3 linked regions of the Canis lupus familiaris genome follow. The protein of the gene in region 1 purifies or fractionates together with the protein of each later gene. This does not show direct contact. Links are inferred from orthologs where the notes say so. Each region holds a gene or a part of one and is shown in the gene's direction. Other genes may lie near its edges. The genes, in order: AXIN1, DVL3 and MAP3K1.

Region 1 (10,517 bases):
CTAGGCCTGAGACCCCTCCCTCCCTCCAGAGGCCCAAATCCCATGGTCCCTCCTGCACTCCCCTCCCAGGAAGACAATGGGGATGTGCCCCCAGTGTCCCATGTCTGCAGCCTGTTCTCTGCTGCTGGCTTTCATCATCACACATCGGGCCATGCTGGACGCGCCTCAATATACTTGGTGCATCTTAGATGATTTCTTTTTTTTTTTTTTTTCGGATGATTTCTTTGAATCATTTTTTATGAGTGGTGTTCCTCAGCCAAGTGGATGAACACGTGTAAGGCTTCATTTTTTTTTTTTTTAAGATTTTATTTATTTATTCATGAGAGAGAGAGAGAGAAAGAGGCAGAGGCACAGGCAGAGGGAGAAGCAGGCTCCATGCAGGGAACCTGACATAGGACTCAATCCTGGGTCTCCAGGATCACGCCCTGGGCTGAAGGTGGCACTAAACCGCTGAGCCACCCGGGCTGCCCCACATGTAAGGCTTCAAAGCTCGCTTTATTTCTAAGTATTCATTTTATGTCTACGTTGAAGAAAATTATTTCATTTTTGCTTTTAAGTTTTTCATGTAGTTCCTGGAAAGCCGGAACAAATGTCCTCTACGGTTAATCCAATCAAAGCTTCTAGTGGCAAACCCTGGCACCCCCTTCACTGGGGGTGTGTGTGTGAAAAGAGGGTGCTCCATCAAGGAACTCACCTGTTCTGACATGAGGCTCCTGGGGCTCTTTGGTGTCACGTCTGGGTGGCTGACACAGTCCCTGCCAGGTCGCCCCTGCAGCACCGCAGGCCCGGTCTGGCCTTCCCTGGGCTCCCTCCTCTGGTCCACGGCTGCTCTCACCCTGCTCAATCGCCCCTCTGTGCCCACAGTTCTAATCTGCGGTAGCTGGGCTGCTGCATTTCCTCCAGGCCTTCTGACTCCCTTCCTGTCCCTGCAGGGTGGGAGCCCCAAGGAGCCAGGGGCCCGAGGGTCCTGTTCTGGTCCTGGGGCCTGGGGACACCTGCCGCCATGGGCCAGGAGGAGGATGGACGTGGACACAACCCTGGGAGCCTGGCCCGGCCACAGCAGCAGCTCTGCAGAACCAAGGCAAGCACTGGGGACCCGTGTCTGGGAGCGGGGAGGCAACATGAGGGCCAGTGTCTGGGAGCTCTTGCTGTTTGTCCAGCCCACCCAGGACTCCCATACCCCACAGAGACCCCGCTGTGCCCAGAAGGCCACCCACTGTGTCTCGTGGTCTCTAAGACTCCTAGGCTGAACGGAGTGGGGGAGGGGCTGCACTGGGGAGCCTGGGACTGTCCCAGCTGGATGCTGGTGAGAGTGACCCCCACTGTGATCACCCTAGTGGGGCCAGTGTGGGCTTGGTCGCATAGCCCCTCATCTATAGCCCCGACTGCCCCTGGGTGGTCTGGGCCTTCGGTAGGCTGGGGATGCGTCCCTGGTTGTCCTCATCCCTCACTGCCTCCCTTTCCTATGACCCCCTGGGAGAGATGCTGTGCTGAGACTTGAGGCAGGCTGGTGTGTCCCTACACCTGCACACCCCAGACAGGCACCACCCGTGGACATCTGGGTGGGAGGCTGGCTGTGGCCCGTGGAGCCCCAAGCCAGGACTTGTGCACTGGTATGGAGCCTGAAAGATGAGGACGCGCCGGGAGGGCAAACAGGGTCCAGGAGAAGATGTGGTGGCCTGTTGGACGGGGCACGGCCCTGCCCTGGAGACTGCGGGGAGCATCTCTTCAGGTGCAGGCCTCGTGGCTCTGTGGGGCACAGGCCCTAGGTGGTCACGGGGGTGCCAGAAGCAATTCCTGAGGGGCAGTGGTAACCTTTCAGTGCCACATCCTTCCCTTAGGGAAGGGCCCGGGGCGGGTAGACAAGGAGCTGGCCGGCTGTGCTTGCAGGTCGGGCAACAGCTGCTATGGCGACGGTGAAGGGCAGAGGTGGTGGTGCAGGAAGCCCTGCTCCCCAGGCTGCCGCGCCAGTATGACCTAGGGACAGCGTAGGAAGGAAAGCCAGGCGCTCGGCGGCCGGGCAGGGCGGCTCCGCAGCACCCGCACGGGCTCCCGCCACACCGCCGCTCGCCGCCCAGGCCCACCCAGACGCCCGCACCTGGGACCTGGCCCCGCCCACCAGGCGGCCCCGCCCCCTCCCCGCGCCCGCCGCTGCCCCGGGCCCCGCCTCCGCGCCGTCCGTCCCTGCAAGTGCTTGGGCCCGGGGCTCTAGGCCCCGCCCCCGCCCCGGGCTACGTCCCCGTCCTTCTCCCGCCCCCACGTTCCGGCTCCGCCCTACGCTCTCCGCTGCGCCCTGTGTTCGCGGTCCCTCCCCGACGCTCTGGGCCCCGCCTCCTGCTCCCGGATCCCCTCCTCAAGGCTGCCCCGCCCGGTGCTCCGGCCCCGCCCAAGTCCCTGCCCCAAGCCTTCGCCCCGCCCCCCGCTCCGGCTGGTGCGTCCCGTGCCAGTCCCGCCCCACGTATCCGAAACGCTCGCGTCCTGGCCCCGCCCCGAGCCTTTGGCCCCGCCCTACGCTCCGGGCGACCTCACTTCCGGTCTGGATCACGCTTCGGGGCCCCGCCCCCCGCTCCGGGCCCCGCCCCCCGCTCTCGGCCACGCCCCCGCGCTCCGCCCCACATATCGGCCCCGCCCCCCACGCTCGGGGGCCCCGCCCCACGCTCTTGGCCCCACCCCCCACTCTCGGCCTCGCCTCACGCTCTCGGCCTCGCCCCCACTCTCCGGGTCCCGCCCCACATCCTCGGCCCCGCCCCCCGCTCCGGGCCCCGCCCCACGCTCTCGGCCTCTCCCACACGCTCCGGTTCCCGCCCCACGTTCTCGGCCCCGCCCCCACACCCCGGGCCCCGCCCCACGTTCTCGGCCTAGCCCCTACTCCCCAGGCCCCGCCCCACGTCCTCGGCCCCGCCCCCACGCTCCGGGGGCCCCCCCCACGTTCTCGGCCACGCTCCGGGCCCGCCCCCGAGCTCCGGGCTCCGCCCTACGTTCTCGGCCCCCCCCACGTTCTCGGCCCCGCTCCGGGCCCCGCCCCCGCGCTCCGGGCCCCGCCCCACGTCCTCGGCCTCGCCCCCACGCTCCGGGGCCCCGCCCCGCGCTCCGGCCCCGCCCCCGCACTTCCGGGCGGCGCCGGCGGGGGCGCTCCGGCCTGGGCTTCGGCGCTCTGGGCTCGGGCTCCCCGCTCGGGGAAGCGATCGCGGCAGCCGCCGCCGCCGCCGCAGGACCGGCCGGAGTCGGTCCGGAGCCGCGTCTCCCGGTGCAGGCGGGTGAGAGCGGGCGGCCGGCCTCGGCGGCGCCCCCGCGGCCTGCCCCGCGCCCGCCTCCGGGCCGCCGCGCCGCCGCTGCGATGGGGGCCGCCCGGGGCCGCGCCCCCGCCCCGTCCCGCCCGCCGCGCCGCCGCTGAGCGCATGGGCCGCGCCGCGCCGCTCCCGGAGCCGGGCCGGGGCGCCGCCGCCGCCGCCGCCGCCGCGGGTGAGTCGTGCGGGCCGGGCGCGGGCCTGTGGGCCGCCCATTGTAGGCCGCGTAGGCCGGGCGGGCCGGGACCCGGAAGAGGGGCCGGTGGGTGCGGGCTCGGGGCGTGCGGGGCGGCGGCGGGGACGCGCTGCGAGGGCCGGGGCCGGGGCGGGAGCGGTGCGCGGGGGGCGGTGCGCGGGGTCCCGGGGGGTGGGCGTGAGCGGGGCCGCCCGCGGGCCCGGCCGGGATGCGCGTGTGCGCGGGCGCAGGTCCTGGGGCGGCCCCGTGACTCCGGCCCCGCGCGGGGCTCCGAGGCCCGAACCCCGAACCCCGGGCACCGGCTCCGCTCCCCCGAAGCCCCTAGCGCTTCCCCGCAGCTTGGAGCTCGGTGCCCGCGGAGCAGAGCCGCCCGGCCAGGCGGGGAAACTTTCTGCTTAGCGCTGAGGACAGAGGGGGAGCCCCAGTTCCCGGAGGGCCTCCCCGCGCAGGTCTGGGGTGGTTTATGAGGAGCCCCTGCCGCGCATCCCTGCCCCTCCGTTTTGCCCCCGTGCTCACCCTGCTTCTGCACGGAAGCTCTCCGGACACTTGCTTCGAGGCCCTTCTTTGGAGAACACACATGGTCTGAACCTGGACTCGGGTGCTAGCCCTGAGTTTCAGTTTTGAGAACCTGACATTCAGGCAGGAGAATGGACAGGCGCGCAGAGAACGGCGTTGCTGTGGGATTTTCAGGAGGTGTGGACGCTTCTTGAGTTTCTAGAGTCAGAAAAGTAAGTGGAGTCCTTTGGGCTACATTGGTCCTTGAAAATTTAGGAGGTGGAGGAGCAGATCACCTTGTGGAACAGCGGCCCTAAGCTTTTCAGGGTTTAGGTACCGGACAGGACAGCGTCGCAGTCATGCTCTATTGCTTCCAGGCTCCTATAAATCAAAAGTTATGAAGTTAGGTTTTAGTGGGATGAACATGTGTCTATACGTGTAGCATGGAGCTGGCTGCTGTGGCTCCACGGGGGTATGGCTCAGCAGTGACTACAGGAGATTTTAAATGCCCTATCAGCCTTGTAGAGCATTCGTCGGAGCCGTGGAGGACTTTTATGGAATCCTTTTATTGATGGTGGTTCCAGGCTGTTGGCCAGATTCAAGGCTTGTGGGCATTTGCCTCTGACCTGAATTAACGTAACTGCTTTATGTGTGGTATGCACGTGCGTACACCAAAACGCTGGGTGTGCTTCTGCTGTGGGAACCTAGGGACGGCGGGAATCAGAGCGTGTTTCCATAATGTCAGTAACTTGGAGAGGTGTCTTTGTGCTTCTGGGGCCACCGAGGATCGTCTGTCAGTTGACAGCCGAAAACAGATGTGAGTTATAAGAGCTATTTCTCGCGGGCAATGAAAAATAGTTTAAAATGATCAGGGCGGTGTGGGGGGGAGCCTTGTTCACACGTGAATTAAAATGTTAGCTTTTAAAGATAGCCAGCTTTGTGAATAAAGGGGTAGATGTTGAGTTTTGTTGCTGTTTTTGTCCTGCTGTAGTTCAGCATCTATGGAGGGCTAACGTTTGGCATCTATGACAATTGTCGTATGTGTTCGTGCCAGTGAATAAGTGTGCTAGGTGTTGTGGGTCCTGCAGAAAACGTTTAATCAGGCTGCTACCAGTAACTTACACGGGAGATAGTTGCGTCTCCAGAGCAGGCGACGGTGACTTGTAATTAAGCTCCCGTTGAATTGCAGTGACTCGGTTCTTTCTCAGGACTGGCGAACTGGAATGTGTCTGAGGGTAGGGCTCAGGGCGCTGGGCGCGGGCCCTCCTTCCTAAGAAGGCGTCCTGAACAGGACGACATCAGGTGTCCATGAGCCAGTGTGGAGCTGAGACACCACAGGTGCCCATTCACGTTGACAGGGCTCAAAGAGAGGGACTTTGCCGTCGTCGGAGTCGTCCGTGACAGCGGGGTGCCCGGCCCGTGGGCCTTGACCTTAAGAAGCAGGCTGTTCCTGCTGAGATTACATACTGCCCGGTAGTTTTCACGAGAAGTCATTAGCTGTAGAAATGTCACCTGGGGCACGTTATTGTGACCCGTTCTCTGTCTCTGGGGGCTTTTCGCTTCTAGCCATCAGCATCTGCTGGCACACGCAGTGCGTGCAGTGTGAGGATGCAGCTGTGGGGGCGGATCGCCTGGTGGCCAGGGGTGGGGAGCGGTGGGCGGGGAGGGCTGCCCTTGGTGTTGGTACTAGATTTAAGGTGTTTATTTTTCTTCCTCTGGCTTATTCAGTGCTCTGGGTGCTTGGAGCTGACACGCTTCTCTCCAGCCCATTTCTAGCCAGACCACCTTGAGGAGTGCGGGCCGCCAGGTGGGGCGGTACAGCCCAGCTCGTGGGCAAGCTCCTGTGGGGCATGTCAGGGAGGACCGGAGACCGTGAAAGAGTCCCGACCCGGGAGAGCCTTCCTTCACACCTGAGGGGGGCTTGTCGCAGCAGCCACGCAACCTGTAGTCCCCAACCCCCGAGAGGATGTGTAGTTGGGATTTGAGCTTATGGAGGTGAATCACGCGAGCTGTGTGCTCGCTTAGTTAAAAGCTGTGATTGCATTTGGACTTCATTTTCTTTTTCCGGGTCTCCTCCGTTCTTCAGAATACTAAATTGCTATTTGCTATCAGGAGGGCGCTTTCCTTATAGGCGAGGTCAGAGGCAGCTTTGTGGTGGAAGCATGTTTTAATATTGTCCACACTGTGATGTGGGATGGCCACCATGTGTGTGGGGAGTCCTTGGGTGACCCACCACTGTTCGTACAGGTGTGTGTTGAGAGCTCAAGGAACACGTCCTTGCGTGTTTGCACACGTTAGGAAGCATATGAGGCGTGCAGCGACGGGGTAGGCAGAAAGCACAGTGGCCGTGGGCCCACAGGTGTGGGGAGCAGATGACTATCTGCCGTGTGCTGTGCGGCGAGCCTGCCTTTCCGTACCTGAGTATCACGGTGATCCCGCATCGCAGGTAGGGCGGTCATCCTCATCTTACGTGTGAGGAACCGGCTCTCGTCCCAGTTTTTGCAGCCCGGAACACTAGAAAGCACATCTCTTTTCTCCGGGCCTGTTGGCTTCCCAGAGCTTGCAGGGAAGGGCTTGTTGTGGCTGAGATGGGAGGTCCCCAGGCTGCTTGTGTCCGTGATGTTCTGGCAGAAAGACACCTGAGGGGAGTGGCACTCTGTGTCCCTGTTCTAGGCGTTCATTTTTGAGATCCAGAGACGTACCTGTGGTTGTAAAAGTTCTCACAAATTGTTTTAATATAGCATAAACCTTGTGACGAAAGACTGAAAATTTAAACTGAATTTCTGGCTTTGAGTTCGAGTGGGAGGGCATCATTACGAGTCTTGTCTTGAGAAAACCTCTGTGGTCATGTTTCCATGGACCCACCTTTCCTAATCCTTGTCCTCTTAATGGTTTCAACAGGACAGATTGATTCACTTTGGAGCTATAAGTACTGATGTATTAGGGTGCAGCGCTCATTGTTCATTGACGCACAGAGTCCCAAAATGAATATCCAAGAGCAGGGTTTCCCTTTGGACCTCGGAGCAAGTTTCACCGAAGATGCCCCACGCCCCCCAGTGCCTGGTGAGGAGGGTGAACTGGTGTCCACAGACCCCAGGCCCGTCAGCCACAGCTTCTGCTCCGGGAAAGGTGCCGGGGTCAAAGGTGAGACTTCAGCAGCCACTCCGAGGCGCTCCGACCTGGACCTGGGGTACGAGCCTGAGGGCAGCGCCTCCCCCACCCCGCCATACTTGAAGTGGGCCGAGTCGCTGCACTCCCTGCTGGACGATCAGGATGGGATAAACCTGTTTAGGACTTTCCTGAAGCAGGAGGACTGTGCTGACCTGCTGGACTTCTGGTTTGCCTGCAGCGGCTTCAGGAAGCTGGAGCCCTGTGACTCGAACGAGGAGAAGAGGCTGAAGCTGGCCAAGGCCATCTACCGCAAGTACATCCTCGATAACAACGGCATCGTGTCCCGCCAGACCAAGCCGGCCACCAAGAGCTTCATAAAGGACTGCATCGTCAAGCAGCTCATCGATCCGGCCATGTTTGACCAGGCACAGACGGAGATCCAGTCCACCATGGAGGAGAACACCTACCCCTCTTTCCTCAAGTCTGATATTTATTTGGAATACACGAGGACAGGCTCGGAGAGCCCGAAGCTCTGTAGCGACCAGAGCTCTGGGTCAGGGACGGGCAAGGGCATACCCGGCTACCTGCCCACTCTGAACGAAGATGAGGAATGGAAGTGTGACCAAGAGCAGGACGAAGACAGTGGCAGAGACCCTGCTCCCCCCGGCAGGCTCACACAGAAGCTGCTTCTGGAGACGGCCGCCCCGCGGGCCTCCTCAAGTAGACGGTACAGCGAAGGCAGAGAATTCAGGTGAGTCGGATGCAAGGCGGCCGTGTTTGTGCTCACGTCCGAGCCTTGGACAGCTGGCAGGCACAGGTGGCAGCCAGGAGTGGTCTTGTGTCCCAGGCCCCACGTGGGCGTGCTCCTGCTGCTGGGGGTGAGCGTGGCGGTGGTTCTTCCTCTTGCTACTTTGACGCTTGCAGCACAAGGTTTTAATACGTGTAAGTTGAGGGCCCTTTGGCAAGAACAGTCCCAAGTGTACGGCCTTGTATGTCACGAAGAGCCTCGGATGTCCCAGAGATCGTGGCGTTCAGACTTGGCCTGTGGCGTGCAGGGGGACTTACCCCATACGTGTAATCCTCTTGGCTTAATACAGAGAGGAGTGGATGTAGAAAGCGTCAGTGCGGCCAGAATTCTGGATGGTTGTCTTTCGTGATCGTTTCCCCAGATTCCTCCTGGAGGTTGTGCAGCGCTGGTGGGGAGGCTGCCGCAGCAGGTAGCCACAGCGCTCTGGGGCCTTCTCTGGGGATCGTGCTGGGGGACCCTGTCCCCTCTGCTCACAAATTAAGAGCTGTGGTGCGGCCCAGTCCCGGTGGCATTTGATTTTGTGCTTAGCGCCTGCGCATGTGGCGCCTTGCGACGTGGGAGGTGCCCGTGGTGCTGTCGAGAGCTGTTTGCTGTTGGGAAACCTGGCTCCTCGTTCTTTCCTCGGCTGTCCCTTCTGTGCTTACCGGAGACTTCGCTGATGCGGGTTGGAGCCCCTCGCCGGTGCTAGCCGCCGTTGGCAGGGTGCTCCCATTGCCCACTCCTCTCCCTGCACTGGGGACACCTGTGTGTGAAACTTTGGGAGCCGGGAACCCGCGTGACCCCTGCTGATTCAGTCAGGAGTCCGAATCCTCTCCCCTCCCGCGCTGCTGTTAAAACCTGCTGGTTTCTTCAGGCTCACGCTGGTACAGAAACTGGCTGAATGTTCATGAGGTTTAAGGGTCACGTAAGTGGTGCAGTTCAACATACGCCATTTAAAGTAATGTTTGTGTGCCTTTTGCTCATTGTCTTAAGCTTAACGTTATTGATATAGCAAGCTTTTTAGGACAAGACTTGCCGTAAATTTATTCTAAGTAAGGCCAGTAACTACCATGGTTCTTAAAACCCAACCTAAAATGATTTAATTAGAATAGTTTTAAGATGGAATCAAATTCGAGGCCTGGGCTTCAGGGGAAAATTATTTATTTATTTATTTTTATTTTATTTTTATTTTTATTTTTTTGAAAAATTTTTAGTTAAATTCTGATTTATTTCTTTGTTTCTTTTTTCTTTTTGAATGTGTGTGTATCTCTCGATTTTATTTTATTTATTTTATTTTTTTGATTTTTATTTTTAAATAATCTTACACCCAGCGTGAGGCTCAAACATACAACCCCAAGGTCAGGAGTCGCATGCACCCCTGACTGGGCCGGCCAGGTGCCCCAAGGCTTGGGAATCCTTTAAATCAGAAATCAGAATTGGCTAGCTCAGTTGGTGGGGCGTACAACTTCTGACCTTGGGGTTGTGAATTTGACCCCCCAGTTTGGATATACAGATTATTTAAAAAAAAAAAAAAAAAAAAAAAAAAAAAGGCAAAGTTTCCTGAGTCTTATTCTGTATGTTTTTCAGTTCTCGTTTTTTTTTTTTTTTTTTTTTTTTTTTTTTTTTATTTATTTATTCACGAGAGACACAGAGACACAGGTAGAGGGAGAAGCAGGCTCCATGCAGGGAGCCTGACGTGGGACTCTATCCTGGGTCTCCAGGGTCATGCCCCGGGCCAAAGGCAGGCGCTAAACTGCTGAGCCACCAGGGCTGCTCTTCGTTCTTGATCTCTCTTTTTTTTTTTTTTAAATATTTATTTATTCATGAGAAACACATGAGAGAGAGAGAGGCAGAGACATAGGCAGAGGGAGAAGCAGGCTCCATGCGGGAAGCTTGACGTAGGACTCGATCCCGGGACCCCAGGATCGCCCCCTGGGCCAAAGGCAGGCGCTAAACCATTGAGCCACCCAGGGATCCCCTTGGTTCTTGATCTTAAGCAGCAGCTTTGCTTTTAAATTACTAGAGTACGTTGGCTTTACTTGTTTAAGTGCGTTGAGCTGTAAGGACTGTGGCACATTTTAGTTTTGACTTGCCTGTCGTGGAGCTGCTGGTGCGGAGGAAGCCAGGAGTTGGGAGTCCCAGCCACAGTTGAACCCCATTCTGCTCGAGGTTGGCTCTGATACTTTAGTGAGTGGAAGATCTCTGATGTCACGGTCATCGTTTACTAGCACCGACAGGTATGAGGTCCAGCACATTCTGCTTTGTCCTGCTGGGGTGTGCAGTTGGGTGCACTAGGCTGGGAATCACAGGAAATCCAGCCTACCCTGCCTTAAACAGTGAAGGGGATTAGGTAACTTAAATCAACGAAAAGGTTAGAGGCAGGGCCAGTTTCAGATGTGGTTTGATCTGGACTCCAGCCAGTTTTCTTTTAAAGACTTTATTTTTTAAGAGCAGTTTCAGGTTATCAGCAAAAATGTAGAGAGGTTTCCCGTCCCCCCCAACAGCCTCCCCCACATCAGTACCCCTCACAGAGCAGTGTGTCTGTTGCAGCTGATAACCCTACATCAATACCACTGCCACCCAAAGCCTGGAGTCTCCACCGGGGTGCGTGCCTGGTGCCGGGCGCGCTGCGGCCTGGATG
Region 2 (10,517 bases), on another chromosome or scaffold:
CTTTACTCCTTCAATCATCTTAACAGCCCTATGAAATAAGCAGTCATATCTCCGATTTATAGTTGAAGAAACTAGAGCACAGAGAAAACTTAATTAACTCAAGGCCATACAGCTAAGTAAGTGGCAGAGCTTGATTCTGCATAAGAAATTGGCTCCAAAGTCTATGACCTTAATCACACAATGGTAGGTGTTATTATTATCACCACTGAACAGATACATGCTCTCTGAGGGAGATGCTGAGCCTTGGCAAACTGTAAAGGTGATAGGGCTGCCACTTATCCTAGCCCCATGAGACCAGGGTCGGGCAGAGGCCATCGACCCCTGCTGACAGATGGGACAGTAGGTCAGAGCCTGCTCTCCAGGCTCACCCTATGAAGTTCTGGTTTGTAGGGCGTGAGGACTCCCCATCTCCCATCTGGTCTCCAGAAGTACTTGTCAAGCTAAAGCAGAAAGGACCCTCTTAAATGACTTGGGAAATGGAGGAAAAATAAACATTTTCAGCACTGAGGGAGTTGGTGGATGGATGCTAGAGTGACCTTGAGCCGTGGGCAGGAGCATCTTGGGAAGTTGGGCTACCAACTATGCTGCTCCCTGCTCCACATCACATACTGCCCAGCCTCTGGGCCTTCTACCCAGAGCACACTGCTCTTCCCTTGTCTTCCCCAGGTCCACAATTTCCCATCCTCTGCGTTTAGCTTTTAAAGTTATAGGACTTTATCCTCTTTATCCTTACACATACCAAGCTCCTAGCCAGGACCTGACACCTAAGTAATACTCAACAGCTGTCTGTCCAGTGAACACATCTGCTGCTCTCAGGTTCTGACCACTTCCTACTTACCATATAGTTGTATGAACTATCCATTGGGCCATAACCTCTAAGGACAAGGTAGACTCCTGGTCTTTTTGTTTTTTTTTTTTAGACTCCTGGTCTGATGCTTCTTGAGGTTTATACAATGGCAAGCGCAGGATTTAAAGCCTGCTGGGTTCTTAGTAAAGGCTTTTTAATTGAATGAATGATGATGAGTGATACGCAGATTTGTTTGGTCCCTGCCCTTAGGAGCTTACACCTAGTTGGAAAGAGAGTGTGGAACTTGCTAAATATTGACACGGTTAATAACAAGCTTTTATTGTAAGCCTAGATCATGCCAGGCATTCACAAATCCCAGTTACCAGGACAAGACAAAGGCTTGAAAAGTTAAGAAACTTCTCTAAGATAGGAGGGCTAATAAGTGGCAGAATTAAAACCCAGATTTGTTCAACTCTGCTTGGGGCCTGTGTGTGTGTGTGTGTGTGTGTGTATGTGTGTGTGTGAGGGAGAGAGAGAGAGAGAGAGAGAGAGTGTGTGTGTGTTAATGCTGTGCAACGCTGAGCCCCTGAGGCATTCATCTCCATGGTGGGAGGGGAGGACTGTCTGAGGTCCCCCAAGGCTGTTGCTGAAGATCAGCTGATCCGTATGAGTCAGCAGAGCCTTGGTGACCTGTTGGTGACCCCTAGAAAGAGAGGAAACATCTGTAGCATGGAGCTGTGTGATGGGGCCTGCTGGGGAAGGGGGTGGGGGGGACTCAGCAGCAGTTTCCCACCACAGGGAGACCCTCTCCAGAGCAGATCATCTGCCCTGTGACCCACATACCCCATTTTCTTTTGAGCCCCAGTTCCCATAATGGGGTGCAAGCTTCGGGTACCCTGTAGCCAAGACTGGCTGGTGACTCTGAGCTACCTCTGTGTCCCTTCTTTTTAGCACATTCTATCCCTAGGCTTTCTGCCATTATGGCTTGACCAGGATAATTAGAGCTGCTTTCCCAGGGTCTTTGTGGGGTTGGAAATGGTGGAGGAACCAGAGCTGGGTGGGAGGGAGAAGGGCAGGCTCCGTCTTCAGACTTGGCGGTGAGTCCAAGAATGTGAGCATCACAAAGAGCCAAGCACGTTCCCGGCTCTGGGCAGAAGCTGCTCCAAGAACAGGACTAGGCTTCCCAGCTTCCTTCCTTGCTATCTTCTCTCTGCTCACAACCAGGCATGTGTCCCCGATCTTGTCTTGTCCCCGATCACATCTTTCCCTCTCTGTACTCCTGGGTTATTTGACACAGTCTGCAGCCATCAAACTTTTCCGTTCCTTTCCCTGGCCCCAAACTGTAATCATGGTCTGACTTCTTGCCTTGATGCATCCCTTTAGCCAAACTACATGCCTGTGTACACATCCACCCCCTCCATATCCCACATCACTGTCTCCCCACACCCGCGCCACACACACAGATCCACATCACCTGTCACTGTATGGGGAAAAATGTGAAATACTATGAAAAGACCATGGGTTTTGGAGTCAGGAAAGCTTGGCGTTGAATTCCATCTCTGACATCTTCCAGCTTTGTGACCTGGGACAAGTTTCTCCCATGTCTACTGAATGTTTCTCCATTTCTTTATTCATAAAATGAGGATCTTGTCCATACAATGAAGGTGATGTGAATATTACACATTCTTACTACAGGAAGATAAGATGGTATAATAGGTAAGAATAAAGGCTGAAGAATCACACTGACCAGGATTCAAATTCCAGTTCTTATTAGTGGTGTGACTGTAAGTGAATCTCTGAACCTACTAAGCCTTAGTTACTGTATCTATCTTAGCAATGCTGTGAGTATAAAAAGAAGTGATGCAAGTAGCTTAGTGCTTGGCCCATGATACATGCTCAGTAAATGAGAGCAGTTTGTACTATTATCATAATGGCAGTGGAGGATGTTCAGTAAATACCTTTCCCCTTTCTCTTTCCTAAACTCATCATCCACACCTCCCAAAAGAATGTCAAGATTCCCAAGAAGGGAAAGACAGAAATAAGGGTGTGCTTTTTCCTTGTTTAGGGTCAGAGGGAAAGAATAAGTCCAGCCCAGAAGAGCTATGTTGGGCTGGGCTAAGCACTCTCAGGTTCTAGGGAGTAGCCACTCTCAGGGCAGATAACACTTTGTCAGGTGTAATTTGCAATCACCTGATGACTGAGAGGACACCCTAGGATGACACATGGCCTGGACAGGGCTGTTGTCTTCCTGGTGGTGCTAAAGAGCTGTCCCTAAGTGTTCCCCACTTCTGCTCCCACTTGAATAGGCTTAGGTTAGTGGCATGATTCCCAGTTTAGGGTGGAGAAAGGAGCCCCTGAGTTAGGATTGTGATGACACTTCCATTTCTACCCCAGAAAGCTCATTCTGACACCCCCACCCTTTCCCTGCAGAGTGGTGAAGGAGGAGATTTCTGACGACAATGCCAAGCTGCCCTGCTTCAATGGCCGGGTGGTGTCCTGGGTAAGGAGCCCTCCTTAGCCCTCTCTCTTCTTGCGTTCCTGTGGTGGGCTAGACAGAGGAAAAGCATTACTAAGATTGTAGCTGGTGGGTTTATCCTTCAGTATCTGAATTTCCCCTGAGTTTTCTACCTGAACTGTTTCTCACCCCGGATTCTGTAGCCTTAGTGAAAGGTGAGGGGTGGGGGTGGAATGTGGGGAAGGAAGGGGTGAGAAACACTCATTGGAGACACAAATGTCTCCTTTGCCCTTTGAGGCACTTTGCCTGAGCTTCCAGCCAACTTCTCCCTTGGACCACTGACCCTTATTCTCTGTCCCCATCCCGCTACAATAGCTCATGCCCCCCATCCTCACCGTCTACCAGCAGTGAGTCCGTTCCTCATCACAGCTGACCTTTCACAGTCCTATCTCTTCTCCTCCATGCCCCCTGCTTCATTCTCCCCAAGGCTGCATGCCCGGCCAGAAGCCAACTATCTGCTTTTTCCCTGGTGCCCCTGTACCACACTACCCACCCATTCTATCCCCATCAGTTGGTGTCTGCTGAGGGCTCACACCCAGAGGCAGCCCCCTTCTGTGCTGACAACCCATCAGACCTGCCACCGCCCATGGAGCGCACAGGAGGCATTGGGGACTCCCGGCCCCCATCATTCCAGTGAGTGTGACCTGAGAGTGGAGCGGGCCCATGGGAGAGGGCTGCATCTGCTCAGCCAAGGGCTGGGGGAGGAGGGAGCCCCCAGCCTGCCCCCTCTCCCACCAAGTCTTCTCTTCCCTGTAGCCCTCATGCTGGTGGAGGCAGCCAGGAGAACCTGGACAATGACACAGAGACGGACTCCTTGGTATCTGCCCAGCGTGAGCGGCCACGCAGGAGGGACGGCCCAGAGCACAGTGCGTCTTCCCTAAACAGATGTCTCCCCTCCCCACCCCTACACCTTCCTCACTGCTTCCATTCAGCTACCCACTTCTCTGCCCTTTCCTGAGCTCTGGATGTGCCTGCCCGCAGCACAGCCCTTAGCCCAGCCCTCTGTCCTCCCTTCCCTCCTGTGTCAGCACTGCGAACCCAGCTGCCTCTATTCCCACAGCAACCCGGCTAAATGGAACTGCAAAGGGGGAACGGCGGCGAGAACCAGGGGGTTATGATAGCTCATCCACCCTTATGAGCAGCGAGTTAGAGACCACCAGCTTCTTTGATTCGGATGAGGATGACTCCACCAGCAGGTGGGGCTTTGGGTTCATTGGTACTTTGGGGCAGGTGACCCCTGAACAGTCCTGACCCCCTCACCTCCCAGGATGGTGGTACCCTGGGAGGGCAGTGGGTTTTGCATGGGGGACTTGGGCCCCGCAGTGCCTCTTATGGGGCAGGGCTGGGCCAGCCTGGTGGGGAACGACTGTGGGCCCTCCAGGTTCAGCAGCTCCACAGAACAGAGCAGCGCCTCACGCCTGATGAGAAGACATAAGCGGCGGCGGAGGAAGCAGAAGGTTTCACGGATTGAGCGGGTACGGGCCTGAGATGCCAAGGATGGGTGGGGGTACACTGAGCCCTGTCCAGGCAGACCCAGGGTGTTGTGCTTCCTTAGATCCCCTCCTATCGGGCCAGCGTTTGAGCCTTAGAGGGGAGGGAGCGCTGAGGGCTCACCTCGAGGAGGAGCTAGTTGGGAGCAGTGAGTTCTTGCCACCCCAGCGGTCACTGCGACAGATGGGGCCTCTGTCTATTCCAGTCCTCATCCTTCAGCAGCATCACGGACTCTACCATGTCACTCAACATCATCACAGTCACTCTCAACATGGGTGAGTCTGGTGAAATAATACTCTTGAGCTCCTGCTGTATGCCAGACACCAGGCAGGAGCTCAGCGAAACACAAGATAATGTTTCCTAAAAAAAAAAAAAAAAAAAAGGTTAATGTTTCCTGCCCCTGAGGAGCGCTCTCTCATGAACATAAACTAGTAAATAAACTGGTCATTTCCATATCCCAAGATCAGGGCTATGGCAGAGACAAGCACAGAGAGGTGTGGAAGCAGAGGATGACAGCAGGGAAGGCTTCCTGGAGGAAGTAATTTCTGATTCCTATCCCCTTTCCGTTTTTCAGCATTGCTTGTTGTTCTCTGATTTCTGCCTTAGGTACTGTCTTTAGGAGATAGCTCGATGTAGTGAAAAGAGCCCCAACCTTGGAATTTAAGTCTGAGTTTGAATCCTGGCTCTGCCACTTAATGGCTTAGAAAAGTTATCGAAGTTCTCCGAACCTCGGTTGCCTGCTTTGTAAAATGGGACTAAGAATCCCTGCAGCAGAGCTAGCAAGGACTAAATGGAAGTATGCTTGACCATGCTGAACACAGGGCCTGATTCAGGTTCAGTGAATGTTCATCCCAATCCCTTTCCACCCTTTTCTAATAAGGGGTTCAGAATCTGGGTAGGAACTTTGTTTCCCTCTTAAGGTTGTATCACTCTCTGTAGAAAAGTACAACTTTCTGGGCATCTCTATCGTGGGCCAAAGCAACGAGCGTGGTGACGGAGGCATCTATATCGGCTCTATCATGAAGGGTGGGGCTGTGGCTGCAGATGGACGCATTGAGCCAGGAGATATGCTGTTGCAGGTACCGTTGCCCACCTGGAATGGTGGTGTGGATGGGGAGTAGGGAGATAATCCCTGTCCCCTGCACCCTGCTCATTTAGAGCCCACTTCTTGGTAGGGGGAAGACCTCTTGATCCACTAAGGTCAGCCTCCCTACTCACCTCCCCAACCCAGCTGCTTATCCCACTTCTGGTCCTCTCACCCAGGTAAATGAGATCAACTTTGAGAACATGAGTAATGACGACGCAGTCCGGGTGCTGCGGGAGATTGTGCACAAACCGGGGTATGGATGGCATGGGACATTGGGAAGGAGAGGGCAGGAATTTCTGGCCATCATGCCAGGGGATTGGTCTAGATTCCGCGTACCCTGCCCTTACTAGGGACACCCTTGCTTTCAGGCCCATCACCCTGACTGTAGCCAAGTGCTGGGACCCAAGTCCACGTGGTTGCTTCACACTGCCCAGGAGTAAGTGGTTGGGGGACTTGGCCCTAAAGCTGGTGCTTGGCACATGTGAACCCTGTCTCTCCTTCCTTCTGTGTTGCCTGAACCCTCATACCTACCCTATTGGGCCTGGCAGTGGGCAGGGTGGACAGCCCCTGACCTCTCATCCTCCCTGCAGGTGAGCCCATCCGGCCCATTGACCCTGCAGCCTGGGTCTCCCACACTGCAGCCATGACCGGCACCTTCCCTGCCTATGGCATGAGCCCCTCCCTGAGCACCATCACCTCCACCAGCTCTTCCATCACCAGCTCCATCCCTGACACAGAGCGTGAGTGCCCAACCCTGCCCCCTAGGCCCAGCAGATGCGGTCCGGTGGGAGGGACTGATTAAAGCCCACATGGAGACTCTTGCTTAAAAGTCATAGCGGGCTGGAGAGGAGGCTGAATTCATTCCAGCTACCTCACACTGCAGCTTCTTCCCTCAGTGGACACCCGACCCTCACTAAACAGTGTTTGCCTCTGAACCTGTACTGAACACCCAGCAAGCCTCAGTTTCCTCTAGTAAAATGGGACCAATGATATGCACTCTACCAGGTTCTGAGGCGACGGATGGAGGTTTAATGAGAGGATATAAATGAAGCTTCAATTCTAGTATGTGGCATAAAGTAAGCACTCAGTAAAAAAACTGCCATTTTTACTATAGCACTCATATTATACAGTATGCTAAGCACCTTCACTTACATTATTTAGTTCTCTCTTCAAATATCCTTGCAAAATATGGGGTGCCTAGGTGGCTCAGTTGGTTAAGCATTGGACTCTTGACCTCAGCTCAGGTCTTGATCTCAGGGTTGTGAATTCAAGCCCTGTGTCAGGCTCCACATTGGGCATAGAGCCTACTTAAAAAAAAAAAAAAATCCTTGCAAAATAAATATTAAAGTCCCTATTTTTACAAAAGAGGAAACTAAGTGTCCTAGAAGTCAGTAATGTGCGTTCAACATTGGTCCATGATTTTTGGGTGGTAGAACTGCAATGCAGACTCTTCTCTACCTAACTCTGTAGCTCCTTTCTGCCTCACCATTCTGCCTCCCACCCCCAGGCCTAGATGACTTCCACCTGTCCATCCACAGTGACATGGCTGCCATTGTAAAAGCCATGGCCTCCCCTGAATCTGGGCTGGAGGTCCGTGACCGCATGTGGCTCAAGATTACCATCCCCAATGCTTTCATCGGTGAGAGGGCCCCATGGTGGGATGAAGGGCAGGGTGGGGAGTGTTGGGAAGGGCAGGCTGGGGGCTGAAGATCTCCCTTGGTCCACTTCTTTGAGCTGGAACCAGCCCCAGCCTTGTGGCTTCTGTGAGGTCAGATGAGCCCAAGTCAGGTGGGCCTCCCATTCAAGTGGCGGCCTTGCCCCTAGGCTCGGATGTGGTGGACTGGCTATACCACAACGTGGAAGGCTTCACTGACCGGCGAGAGGCCCGCAAGTATGCCAGCAACCTGCTAAAAGCCGGCTTCATCCGCCACACTGTCAACAAGATCACCTTCTCTGAGCAGTGCTACTACATCTTCGGTGACCTCTGTGGCAGTATGTGCCTCCCTGACCTCCTTGCTCGTCTCCTGGCTGGGAGTGGGGAGGTGCCCAGGGATGTGGCAGCAGACCCCCAGACACCCATGGGAAGCAGGAGTGGGCAGCCAAGCTGGGGGCCCAGCTTGAGCGCTGACCCAGGCTTCCTTCTCTAGTAGAAGCAGAGCCCAGTTGGGCCTTTTCACCTGCTCTGTGTCCCCATCTTGGGGTGGGCATTTTCAAAGTGCCTCCTCTGTTTTTGGCACCATGCAGGTTATTTCTAAGCGTCATGTTGCTCTCACTCAGTACTCACAACCCCCGCCTCCTCACCTTCAGGGAGATGGATCACTATCCCTATTTCAGCTGAGGAAACTGAGACTTCGAGAAGTTCAATAGTCCACCCATTCTCACAGCCAGATGCAGAGGAGTTAGGCCTTGGGTCCAGGTCTTTCTGGCTCTAGAGCCCTTTTACTTACTACCATCTGGAGCTGTGTAGGTGTGTGGTGTTGCCGAAGCATTGTCCTAGCAGAGTCAAACAAAGGTCCTATGGTTGGCCCCTGATCACCCTCCCAGCACCAAGCAGGTTCCACCAAGGCCAGACCTGGGGCTGGCCTGAGGCCCCAGGTCCCCAGCCTTCTCAGACCCTTGAGGGTGGGCCAGGCCTTGGGATGAAACTGGAGAAACTGTCAGGGCCATCTTATAGAGGGACTCTGCAAGCTGCATCGAGCAGTTTGGGCTTGATCTCGAGAGAGTGCAAAGCTAATGAGGGCTTTTAAGGAGTAAAGGTGTGCAGGGAACCCCCTCTTTTCCTGAGCATGTAGATAGCCCTTGGGAAGGAAGGGGAGTCCTCAAAACAGAACAACATTGCTCAGGGCTGGGAGCAGAGGCCCACTCCCAGCAGCCGCCTCTACCTCAGGGAGTCTTTGGTTAGTCCAGTGGTGCTTACTGGCTAAAGTCCAAAAACTAACTTTTAAAATGCTTCAGATTAGGATCTAAGACTAGAAAGGCTATTGCTGCAGGGCATAAGTTCATGATGGAGGGTGATAGGTGCATAGGGTTTTGAAGTTGGACAGGTCTGAGTTCAAATCCTAGCTTTGCTCTCACTGTGAACATGAGTAAGTGACAGCCTCTCATTCCCTTAATTTCTTGATCTGTAAGTTGGAGGTAATACTAGAAACTCTCAGAGCTGTTTAGAGGTTAAGACCTTGTATAATGCTTTGAGCACCATGTTCGGCCCACAGTAAGTGCTCTAAAATGTTCTCCATTATTCATAAACTTAATTGATTCTAAGATGAACATTTCTTTCACATTTCAGTATCTCTGAAATTGGGGTGCATCTTATAATTAATGGCTTCTTACTCTATCCTGTGTGGTTATTATTATCATCATTAGAATAAGTCAGCCCTGGCCCTGAACCTCCGAGGATCCCTATAGCTTCTCAAGACAGCTGTGATTTTTGCTTAAGAGATGTTGTTCTATCCCTGGAGCCTCTTGGGTCTTCTACCCATGGCCAAGGCCCCCAGAAGCCCAGGTTAGAGATATGCTGACAGGTCTTTTGCTTCTCACTGGCCAGGGTCTCCTCAGCTGGGAATGTGGCAGGCTCAAAGGAAAGAGCTGGAGATCTGGAATCCCCAGGAACCCACAGTCACTCCCTTCAGGACAATAGCCTGGAGGCTGAAATAGTCACCAGCTCTTGGGGCATGAGCCAGGGCAGGCCCCTGCTTCTCACCACCACTACACCCTGCTAGCTGCAGGCCTTAACATGTTGATGGCTTGGCCGGTAGATTCCACAGACCACCTCTCCTGACCTCTTCTCCTCTGGAAGGTTGGGCTGGCTTATTTAAGGACTTGGAACGAAGGGCTCCATCTGTATCCAGCACCTGGCCTGGAGGGCAACTCTAGCTCTCTCAGAGCTCTGGGACCTGGTATGATGAGGTGTGAGCAAGGGGTGTCCCAGCCAGGTAATCTCTTTGGTGGCCCCTTGTATCCCCTTTTAGGTAATTCCAATATTGGTCGGGGCAGCCTTGCCTTTAAGGACTGCACAGTTTACTGTGGGAGCAAGAGACATGAAACAAGTAATGTTAATACCCTGAGATGAGTGCTGTCAAGAATGAGGCCTGGCTGGGAATGGAGTGGAGGACACAGAGGAGGCACCTAAGTTGTTCTCTTTCGGATCCCTTTCCACCTTCCACAGCAGCACCAGAAAATCGATCTGAGCCAAGGGCTTTCTTTTGTATGGGGAGGCTCTGAAAGGCCTGTTTGTTTTGGCCTATAATGGGTATTTTTTTTTTTTAGCCCTAGGTGAAGGGTGAGGGCAAAATTTCACCTAAATTTCCCCAAACTGCTCCCTACTTCTTACTAATGACTCACCTGGAAAGGTAAGACGAAAGTAAGCAACTCCTAGCTTCTGCTCTGGCTACAATTTGGATTGACCTCAGGTGGGTCATTTAACCTCTCTGGACTTCACTTTCCTCACCTGGAAAAAATGTGACTAATTCCCTCTTCATAGGATGGTGGTAACATTTGCATGAGTTGAAGCGCTTTGTATTATGCCCAATGACTTGCAGGTTTGCAATACCTGTCTGCTATTTCAGTTTCTCATATTCCCTTAAGTGAACAGAAGAGAACATTGCCCATCTAGTTTACTGAGGAAGGAGAGGAAACTG
Region 3 (10,107 bases), on another chromosome or scaffold:
TTTAGAGAAAACTGGAAAAGGACTGTGTGCTACAAAACTGAGTGCCAATTCAGAGGACATTACTGACAGACTGGGCAGCATTTCCGTAGGACTTCCCAGTTCAACAATGGAGCAACCAAAGCCAATGGTTCAAACAAAAGGCAGACCGCACAGTCAGTGTTTGAACTCCTCTCCTTTATCTCATCATTCCCCGTTAATGTTTCCACCCTTGTCAACTCCTCCTTCATCTGCCCCATCTGCACCACCTGGCACTGGAACAGATGTCTCTAAGCATAGACCTCAGGGATTCACTCCCTGCAAAATACCTTCTGCATCTCCTCAAACACAGCGCAAGTTTTCTCTACAGTTCCAGAGAAACTGTTCCGAAAACAGAGACTCAGATAAACTTTCCCCCATTTTTACTCAATCAAGACCCCTGCCCTCTAGTAACATACACAGGCCAAAGCCATCTCGACCTACCCCAGGTAATACAAGTAAACAGGGAGATGCCTCAAAGAATAGCATGACACTTGATCTGAACAGTACTTCCAAATGTGATGACAGCTTTGGCAGCAGCAGCAATAGTAGTAATGCTCTTATACCCAGTGATGAGACAGTGTTCACCCCAGTAGAAGAGAAATGCAGGTTAGATGTCAACACAGAACTCAACTCCAGTATTGAGGACCTTCTTGAAGCATCCATGCCTTCAAGTGACACGACAGTAACTTTTAAGTCAGAAGTTGCTGTCCTCTCTCCTGAAAAGGATGAAAATGATGATACCTACAAAGATGATGTGAATCATAATCAGAAATGCAAAGAAAAGATGGAAGCTGAAGAAGAAGAAGCTTTAGCAATTGCCATGGCAATGTCAGCGTCTCAGGATGCCCTCCCCATAGTTCCTCAACTACAGGTTGAAAATGGAGAAGATATCATCATTATTCAACAGGATGTAAGTATAGTCTTGAAGAGATTAGAGAATTTCCTTGGAGCAAGCTAAAAGAAATCTAATTCAGAAATGATGCTTTTCACATGAGTTAATCATTAGAAGCAGTTTTTCACATGGAATTATACGACAGTTTTGTATCGTTGCTTTACCACAAACACTACTTGCCTATTTCAAAGGCATTTCTGATTGATTCTGTAATGGTGATCACTTCTGCTTTTGACACTGGTCACCAGCACTGTCCCTTCAGAACTTTATAGGTGGTTTGGGAAGCCAGACTGAACAAGAATAATACTTTGCCAGACTAATTTTACAAACTCTTCCTCTTTTAACTTAACAGTAAAAAGATTGCTTTCATTTAATATGTAGACACCGGAAACTCTACCAGGACATACCAAAGCAAAACAACCTTACAGAGAAGACACTGAATGGCTGAAAGGTCAGCAGATAGGCCTTGGAGCATTTTCTTCTTGTTACCAGGCTCAGGATGTGGGAACTGGAACTTTAATGGCTGTTAAACAGGTAAATATCTAGTGAGCACATAATGACTTAAATTATAAAAACAAAGCATGAGCAAATAAGAAAAAGGATGTGTCACTGTGTATATATGCTTTAGGTTCTTTAATTTTCAGAAACCCAGATTTCAAAATAAATACTGCCAGCACCAAAAGCATAATTAATTCCTTTTTTTTCTTTTAAGGTTTTATTTATTTATTCATGAGAGAGAGAGGGAGGCAGAGGGAGAGTCAGGCTCACTCTGCAGGGAGCCTGATGCGGGACTCAAGCCTAGGACCCTGGGATCATGACCTGAGCTGAAAGCAGATGCTCAACTGAGTCACCCAGGCACCCCTAAAAGCATCATGAATTCTAATGAAAAGCTGAAGCATGATTATTTTAACAAACTATAGAAATGATCCCTGAAAGTATAGTCTTGAAGCATGATTATTTTAAGATGCAACATCAGGGATCCCTGGGCGGCTCAGTGGTTTAGCACTTGCCTTCGGCCCAGGGCATGATCCTGGAGTCTCGGGATCGAGTCCCACATCGGGCTCCCTGCATGGGGCCTGCTTCTCCCTCTGCCTGTGTCTCTGCCTCTCTGTGTCTCTCATATGAATAAACAAATAAAATCTTAAAAAAAAAAAAAAAAGATGCAACATCAAGATGGACCTCCAGGTTCTTGGTCTTTTTTGTGCTTTTTATAAGCAAGAGTTATGGTTTCCTACTCCTTTTAGCAGTGTTACCAGTGCAATATCATCTTGGGATCTCTGTAGCTTACTTTTTATTAATGAGCATGTTTATGAAGATAAAGCTTTCATTTTTTTTTAAAGAATTTTTTTTTAATTTTTATTTATTTATGATAGTCACACAGAGAGAGAGAGAGAGAGGCAGAGACACAGGCAGAGGGAGAAGCAGGCTCCATGCACCGGGAGCCTGACATGGGACTCGATCCCGGGTCTCCAGGATCGCGCCCTGGGCCAAAGGCAGGCACTAAACTGCTGCGCCACCCAGGGATCCCAAAGCTTTCATTTTTTTTTTAAAGATTTTATTTATTCATGAGAGACACAGAGAGGCAGAGACATAGACAGAGGGAGAAGGAAGAAACAGGCTTCCTGCGGGAGCCCAGTGTGGGACCTGATCCCAGGACTCCGGGATCATGCACCCTGAGCCAAAGGCAGATGCTCAACCACTGAGCCACCCAGGCATCCTTAAAACTTTCATCTTTAAATTCTGTTGGTTCTTCCACTAGGCTTTTCTTATTCTATCTTTAGACAGTTTTGGAGGATTGGCTATGTCCCAGTTTTTTCCCTATTTCAGTGCTTCTTAAGCTAGACTCTTTTCTGTAGAATATTTTGACTTGGTTTTTAATAAATTATCTACATTGCATCCATGAACATAAATGCCAACTTCTGTTAATATATAAACTGATTTGAATTTGTCCATTTCAGATCAGATTGTTAGTAAAAATTGTAAATGGAAATTCATCAGAATTCAAAACTTTGTAAACATGGTTATTAAAACAGGTGACATATGTCAGAAATACATCTTCTGAACAAGAAGAAGTAGTGGAAGCATTAAGAGAAGAGATCAGAATGATGAGCCATTTGAATCATCCCAACATCATTAGGATGTTGGGAGCCACATGTGAGAAGAGCAATTATAATCTCTTCATTGAATGGATGGCAGGTATGTTCCTGTTTTAAATTGCCAGTGATAGTACATGAATTTAACTTTCTGGCTGACATTGAATTTAGGAGAAACAGTTTAATGAACACTTGTTTTTAATAAGTAGTTTGAATTTCTAAAAGCAAGTCACCCCTACCTAACATAATATGAACTGTAAATACTTTGTTCTGTCTTACATTGATTGATTGATTGATTGATTGATTGATAGCAAAGCAAAGTTTACAGAGTGATACTACAAAGCTCCCAAAGAGGGAGGGAACCTGAGAGGGTTGGGTTGCCCATTTGTCTTACATTTAAATAAAAATAAGATACTGTCTCTACCTTTCAGAGTTTTTCAGTGTTTCTTTTTAAATGATTGTATAGCACTGTTTTATAGGAATTTTTTTTAAAACCTGCTATGCATAAGACCCATATTTTTCCAGGCGGCCATCATCAAGGAGAGATGTTCTAACTTGACAGTATAAAAATGAAATCAAGATAGAACTTGGAAAACTTATTGTAGGTCAACTAGCACTGACAGAGAAAACTGAACCTTATTATCTGCTTGAACAAATACAGACTAGGTTTTATGTGGTATCATATCATACATACAGTAAGACAAGTAACTTAGGATGTATTGAACGAATAAATGCTTGGTTTAACTTCTTAGATTTTTTTTACATTTGAAGAGTAGATTTCTATTCACATATCCATTCTTTAGTATGTTCCCTGATGTTGGTTGTAGCTGCGTTGATAAGATTGACTATTATAAATAATTCATAGTGAGATTTATTGAGTTTGTGACCTGTCCCAGGTCAGAGCATTCCCAGGAGAATATGAAGCCTAACGCTGGATCTTCTGGCTCCTCCCGTTCGCTCTACCTTCTGCTAAATAACATGTTTAGCACTGTTTACTTAAGTCTTATTTTTTAAGATTTTATGTGTTTGAGGGAAACACAGAGATAGCGACCAAGATAGCACAAGCGGGGAAGAGAGGGAGAAGTAGGCTCCCCGCTAAGCAGGGAGTCCCACTCGGGACTCCATCCCAGGACCACGGGGTCATGACCTGAGCCGAAGGCAGATGCTCAACTGACTGAGCCACTCAGGTACCCTACCCTGCAGCTTAAGTCTTATTACGAAAAGTATTTTATACACCTTCGTCAAAAAGACAGGTGAATTGTACATTGCAAAAATAGTCTGGTGCAAAACTGTTAAGTTTAAAGCTTTCTGAAATCTTGACCTTTCAAAAAAACTAGTTTGTGAAAGTTTGATGAAAATGTTTGACAGGTTTTGAGATGACTGGAATGTGTTAGTTTTTAAGTCCATTTCGCTTCTGATGCAGAGTATAAACTTAACATTTCAAATGTGAATGTCCGCTCTTATGGTGCAAGCTTATGTAACCAAATTGTAATAAGCGGTTTTAATTTTGGCTTAAGTTTATGATAATTAGTATTATATGTTTGTCTTCTAGGGGGATCTGTGGCTCATTTGCTCAGTAAATACGGGGCCTTCAAGGAATCAGTAGTTATTAACTATACTGAACAGTTACTTCGTGGCCTTTCCTATCTCCATGAAAACCAGATCATTCATAGAGATGTCAAAGGTAGGAATTCTTTTAATTACTACCTACTAACAATAAATAGAAAACAAATGAGAGTTTTACAACTTGGACCTTTATTGGCAGTTTCTAACTTAAGATCAACTCTATCGGATTGTTTTTCCTGAGTAACTCAAAATACTAGAATTATTAGAAGTGAAAGGAACCTTGGAGTCATGAAATCTGCCTTCCTCAGAGAGACTGATTTTTCCAGTCTCACTGCTAATTGATGGCAAACCAGTATAAAAATCAGGTTTCTGATTTCTTGGTCTCATGATCTACTACTGCCTCCCCAACCGTTCCTGTTTCTAGTTTTATTTAGAATAATTGGGGTATCATGAGCTTCTTTTGAGAAAAATCCTTTAAGATCTTTTGCAGTTTATCTTATTAAGAATAACTGGTTTTCTGACATGTATGTGTGACTAGTATTCAAATAATTTTATAACATTAACTTTTATGAGTTATAATTAAGGAATTATACTATTTTGAATTGGTCTAGGTGAGTATGTTTCAATAGAACTGTCTTAAAATGGAAACCACTAAAATTTTAACTTTGAGGGAAGATTTTTGTTGGGAACATTAAAGGTTTTCAACACTTAGTAACATTTCATTAAATGTCTGCCTTGATCTCCTTTTGCCTTGTTACTTTGATCTTTCCCTCTGAAGATTTGGATTTTATTTTTACATTGTTGATACCTGTGTGCCTTTTTAGGAAGAATGAAGTGAATCAAGAGGGGAGATTTCTCTGAACCCTTCCATGCCCACTTCCTTTGTTACTGTCCTATTTCATTAGTAGTATTTTACTGAGTTTTGAATCTATTCTTTTGCTTTTTAACATACAAGGTCATTTGCTCTTTTTGTTGACAGGTGCCAATTTGCTAATTGACAGCACAGGTCAGAGACTGAGAATTGCAGATTTTGGAGCTGCAGCCAGGTTGGCATCAAAAGGAACTGGTGCAGGAGAGTTTCAGGGACAGTTATTGGGAACAATTGCATTTATGGCACCTGAGGTAAGAAGCAGCTGTGAATGTGATGGCAAAGTAGCTGGCGTTCCATGTGACAGAATTATAGCAACTTAGGTTGCAGTGTTGTTCCGTATGCGCTTACCAATGAGAAGATTATGGCTCTAAAATAAGGTTTTAATGATATCCTTGATTTCAGACTCTTAATCCCTGACGTTCCATCTTTGTCTTGACAAAATTTTAAAAGAGCAGGCTTTAGTAGACTTGCTTATAAGACCGTTGCCAACAGAGAATTTTGGGGTAGTTGTACTACTTGTTTTATAGTATGCCCAAAGTACACATAATTAAAAATCTTAACAATTGCTCTCTCTCTATTCCAAAGGGAGATGAGCACACAGAAGCTAGTCTTCACAGTAGTGAAGAAATTTCACGTAGTATTGCTGTTCTGAATCAGGCTTCTTCAGTTGTGTTCCACACTCTTCATGTTTATACGTAGTGATAATTGGTTGTCCTCTGGCCCCACAGTGACTTAAGTACACAGGGGCTGCTTGGATATTCTGTGATCTGACTCCTTTTCAGAATCTCACAATTCTCCAAAGTACTTTTGTGCCACGTAGGAGATTAAGCTTGTTAATGAAATAAATGAGACATCAAGGTAGTCCATGGAGTTGCTGTCTGTACCATTGTTTTGGTCTGAAATAAAAACCTAGAATACATAACTACAGAATATTTTTCTCTTTTGTTAATGAGTCATATTTCTAAATTAACTATTTTAGGTACTGAGAGGTCAGCAGTATGGTAGGAGCTGTGATGTATGGAGTGTTGGCTGTGCTATTATAGAAATGGCTTGTGCTAAACCACCTTGGAATGCAGAAAAACACTCCAATCATCTTGCTTTGATATTTAAGGTAACTATAATATAAAAATTACTTTTTCTGCTGTAATTGGCAGGAGGCAGATTTTCATGGGTTCCCCTTAACTCTCAATCTAATGTCAAAGCATGTATCCTCCTTGAAATAAATATGCATATATGTATCTCTTGGAATTCATACGGTGTGATGAATGTTGGTGGCATGTACAGTCAGTCCTCATTTTTCAAGTAGTTAGGCTCTATAAAGTCACTTCGAACAATGAGTTAGCGAATAATGAATCATTGTTCTTAGGTGAAATATGTACTAAGTATATCCAACTTTCAAATGTAAAAATGTAGAGCTCTTTATGGACACAATCCACAAATCTTTAAAATCTGATTTACTATTTTCTGTATTTAAAAAATTTACACGAGTCAGGTACCAAATCCCGTCTGTCCTACCTTTCTGACAACTCTCAAATCCATTCTGTCCATTTCCAGTGGAGAAGAGTATAGTAGTTTAGATTTTTAGCTTCTGATCCAGACATGTGCCAGTTAAAAGCTCAGGCTCTGGAATGATACAGACCTGATTTCAAACCGTGGTTCCAGCCTTTAAACTTTAAAAAGCCATGTGACTCGGGAAATGACTCCGTCTGCCCTCTGTTTTCTTGGTTATAAAACATGTATAATTACAGCATCTACTTCATGGGATTAATATGGGAATAAAATCTCTGGGCCTGAGTAACTCGAAATCCAGTGCACCAGTACCTCAGTACCTCCCAGCACCTCCCCCAGTCCTTCCCACACTTCCATACCTTCCCCATTCAGTGCAGTTGAGTTTCTGATGTACTAAGCGGACTGGCCAGGTGTGGTCTCAGTAGCTTTGAATAGCTCTCTGTGCTGAATGACAGAACATGTATGATGAAGCAAGGATGACAAACCATCATACTGCAGAGTATGAGGAGAGCATATAGTATGAAGTGAATACTTTACCTGTCTAATCATTTTGATGTACTTAGTCATGTTCATTTGAGACAAGGAAAACCATAGATCCATCTGCTCAGGAAGTGTTTGATTAAATTCTGAAATCCTAAAATTTGAAGATTCTTAGAGGAAGCCTCCCATCCAGTGGGTGAGTTTTTCCAGAGACTCCCTGTCAGAAGCAAGTCCACCAATTTCAGCTTCAGTTCTTCTATGTACAGGATGCACGTGTACTTCTAGATCAGAAGCTCCTATTGTGGAAAGTTTAAACACACTGGTGGTTTTTCTTACAGATTGCAAGTGCGACGACTGCTCCATCAATCCCCTCACATTTGTCTCCTGGTTTACGAGATGTGGCTCTTCGGTGTTTAGAACTTCAACCTCAGGACAGACCCCCGTCAAGAGAGCTACTGAAGCATCCGGTCTTCCGTACTACATGGTAGCCAATTATACAAATAAACTATAATGGAGACAGGATGCTCAACGAGAGCAAAACTTTTGTGGGGAACCACGCTGATAATCTGCTGGCCTTCATGCCACTGAACAGCTATGAACAAGACCAGTGGGGAACCCTTACCTAAGTATGTGATTGACAAATCATGATCTGTACCTAAGCTTAGTATGCAAAAGTCCACAATTTGTGCACAAACTGTAAACCGTGCCTTTCAAAGAACTGGCCATAGGTAAACAGGAAAGCAACGAAGTTTTGCATGACTAACAAGCATATTTTGGTGTTTTTGGAGCACTTTTTCAGCAATATTAGCAGCTGAGGGGCTCAGGATCTATTTTAATGTTTCAATTTTTCTTCCATTTCATATCGTGATGACAAGCAGGGGGTTCTACAATTCCGTTCAGTTTTTTTTTTTTGTCACTGGCTATAAATCAGTATCTGCCTCTTTTAGGTCAGAATATGCTATAAGTAGCAGTAAATATATTTTTAAAAGTTGATAACTTCTTTATGAACCACAATTGACCTTTATTTTTTAAATGCCTGGGCAGTTGTGGTTCACTGTGCATTTTACTGTTGGCCCATTCATTTCGTTTTTGGAAATTATGGTTCTATATTTTCATTTTACCTTCATTTTGTTTAATATTCAGGGAAAGGTGATCTTTTCAAACCAGAAAAAAAAAATAGAACTAGGTGTGAACTAGGGTTTATTAAATATCTTGCTATTGCAAGAGGTTTTTTTTTTTTTAATACAGATTTAATTTTGTTTGTTTTAAAAATTGGAATATAATAAAATACTACCTTCACTGAGTCAGTCACTGCTCTTTTCATGCAGGTTAAATATAAATTAAGTGAAAATCAACATTCTCTGTGATGCAGCTCACAACCAAGATCAAGATTACCTTGAAATTGTTTTTTTTAATGTATTGGTTTCTTTTGTAGGAAACTTCACACCACTGAAGTCTTACTTTGTATGTAACAATCCATTGTTCATCATCACCACTAATAATATTATTAAACTGCTATTTTCCTTCTACCATGCATCATCTCCTTACAGTAGGCCTGGCTGATACTTAAAGGAAAATTAACTAATGACTCAACTACCAATGAGTAATAGTGTTTTTACAAAATAAATTTGCTTGTAACTTTGAAAACATGATCAGAAAGAAAAGTGAAATTGAATTTCACTTACACACTAATTATTGGATTTTGCACAATTATCTAATGGTTTTCATCTGAGTTGAATTCAGATGCATGGAATCCTGAAGGAAAATGGCAGCTCTTTTATCTTTTCGTAAGTCTTTTAAATCAAGTACTGATTAAATATTTAATACAACTTTTTGAGATGTTAAGTTTTAACTCTTCAGAAGCCAGTTGAATTATTGCAGAGTGAAACAGAATTGGTTATTCTCAAAGACTCAGGATAAACTAAATAAGCTATATAGAGTACATTTTAAATGTACATCACAAATTGGAAGTAAAATAAGTTACAAGATAAGTTTACAGGGATATATTGCATATAATTTTTAAAAAGCAGTTTTTTTTTTTTATGTGAATGTGTCTCTTAGTGAAATTTTACATTCCTTTGTTTTGGAAGATTGGCAATATTTGAAGAGTTAAAAATAGTACCGAAATGTGAAGTTTGGTAGCTCTAAATGTGTTGTACTTGACTGTCTTTTTTTTATTTTCTTCTTTTTTGTGTGTGTGACTACTTAGAATTTTCACAACCCTAATAAGATTGTTTCCGAGTTTCTCATGTGCAAGCTTTAATGGATGCACTCTTGCCATTTTATGTACTGGAAGATCACTGGTCAGATTAATACTGTGTCTGACAGAAATGTAAACTGTATAAACTGAGGAACCTCAGCTAATCAGTATTACTTTGTAGATCACCATGCCCACCACATTTCAAACTCAAACTGCCTCTAGATGTCCAAATCCATTGTTTGAGTTTGTTTGCAGTTCCCTCAGCTTGCTGGTAATTGTGGTGTTTTGTGTTTTGTTTTGTTTTCAATGCAAATGTGATATAATCTTATTTTCTTTGGATCAAAGCTGGACTGAAAATTGTATTGTGTAATTATTTTTGTGTTCTTAATGTTATTTGGTACTCAAGTTGTAAATAATGTCTACTGCTGTTTATTCCAGGTTCTACTACCTCAGGTGTCCTATAGATTTTTCTTCTACC

Evidence for each region.
Region 2: the proteins of AXIN1 (region 1) and DVL3 purify together in Homo sapiens (affinity purification with western blotting; 3 studies listed by BioGRID and IntAct, with this or other methods). This does not show direct contact. The link is inferred for Canis lupus familiaris from reciprocal best matches to the Homo sapiens genes AXIN1 and DVL3.
Region 3: the proteins of AXIN1 (region 1) and MAP3K1 purify together in Homo sapiens (affinity purification with western blotting; 5 studies listed by BioGRID and IntAct, with this or other methods). This does not show direct contact. The link is inferred for Canis lupus familiaris from reciprocal best matches to the Homo sapiens genes AXIN1 and MAP3K1.

What each region holds. Positions count from the first base shown.
Region 1 is NC_049227.1:40,624,667-40,635,183, forward strand, and holds the start of AXIN1 (axin-1), read left to right. Parts: upstream 1-932; 5' UTR 933-1,081; intron 1,082-3,405; exon of another isoform or gene 3,406-3,462; intron 3,463-3,865; exon of another isoform or gene 3,866-4,211; intron 4,212-6,879; 5' UTR 6,880-6,962; coding exon 6,963-7,840; intron 7,841-10,517. UniProt on the Homo sapiens protein: Component of the beta-catenin destruction complex required for regulating CTNNB1 levels through phosphorylation and ubiquitination, and modulating Wnt-signaling.
Region 2 is NC_049255.1:17,227,586-17,238,102, forward strand, and holds part of DVL3 (segment polarity protein dishevelled homolog DVL-3), read left to right. Parts: intron 1-1,126; exon of another isoform or gene 1,127-3,217; coding exon 3,218-3,287; exon of another isoform or gene 3,288-3,335; intron 3,336-3,813; coding exon 3,814-3,935; intron 3,936-4,058; coding exon 4,059-4,168; intron 4,169-4,362; coding exon 4,363-4,498; intron 4,499-4,683; coding exon 4,684-4,777; intron 4,778-4,916; exon of another isoform or gene 4,917-4,998; coding exon 4,999-5,068; exon of another isoform or gene 5,069-5,153; intron 5,154-5,732; coding exon 5,733-5,872; intron 5,873-6,056; coding exon 6,057-6,133; intron 6,134-6,248; coding exon 6,249-6,316; intron 6,317-6,470; coding exon 6,471-6,620; intron 6,621-7,032; exon of another isoform or gene 7,033-7,387; coding exon 7,388-7,519; exon of another isoform or gene 7,520-7,704; coding exon 7,705-7,872; exon of another isoform or gene 7,873-10,517. UniProt on the Homo sapiens protein: Involved in the signal transduction pathway mediated by multiple Wnt genes.
Region 3 is NC_049223.1:43,168,641-43,178,747, forward strand, and holds part of MAP3K1 (mitogen-activated protein kinase kinase kinase 1), read left to right. Parts: coding exon 1-928; intron 929-1,291; coding exon 1,292-1,444; intron 1,445-1,673; exon of another isoform or gene 1,674-1,855; intron 1,856-2,943; coding exon 2,944-3,106; intron 3,107-4,555; coding exon 4,556-4,687; intron 4,688-5,548; coding exon 5,549-5,691; intron 5,692-6,419; coding exon 6,420-6,551; intron 6,552-6,955; exon of another isoform or gene 6,956-7,063; intron 7,064-7,308; exon of another isoform or gene 7,309-7,393; intron 7,394-7,767; coding exon 7,768-7,917; 3' UTR 7,918-10,107. UniProt on the Homo sapiens protein: Component of a protein kinase signal transduction cascade. Activates the ERK and JNK kinase pathways by phosphorylation of MAP2K1 and MAP2K4. May phosphorylate the MAPK8/JNK1 kinase.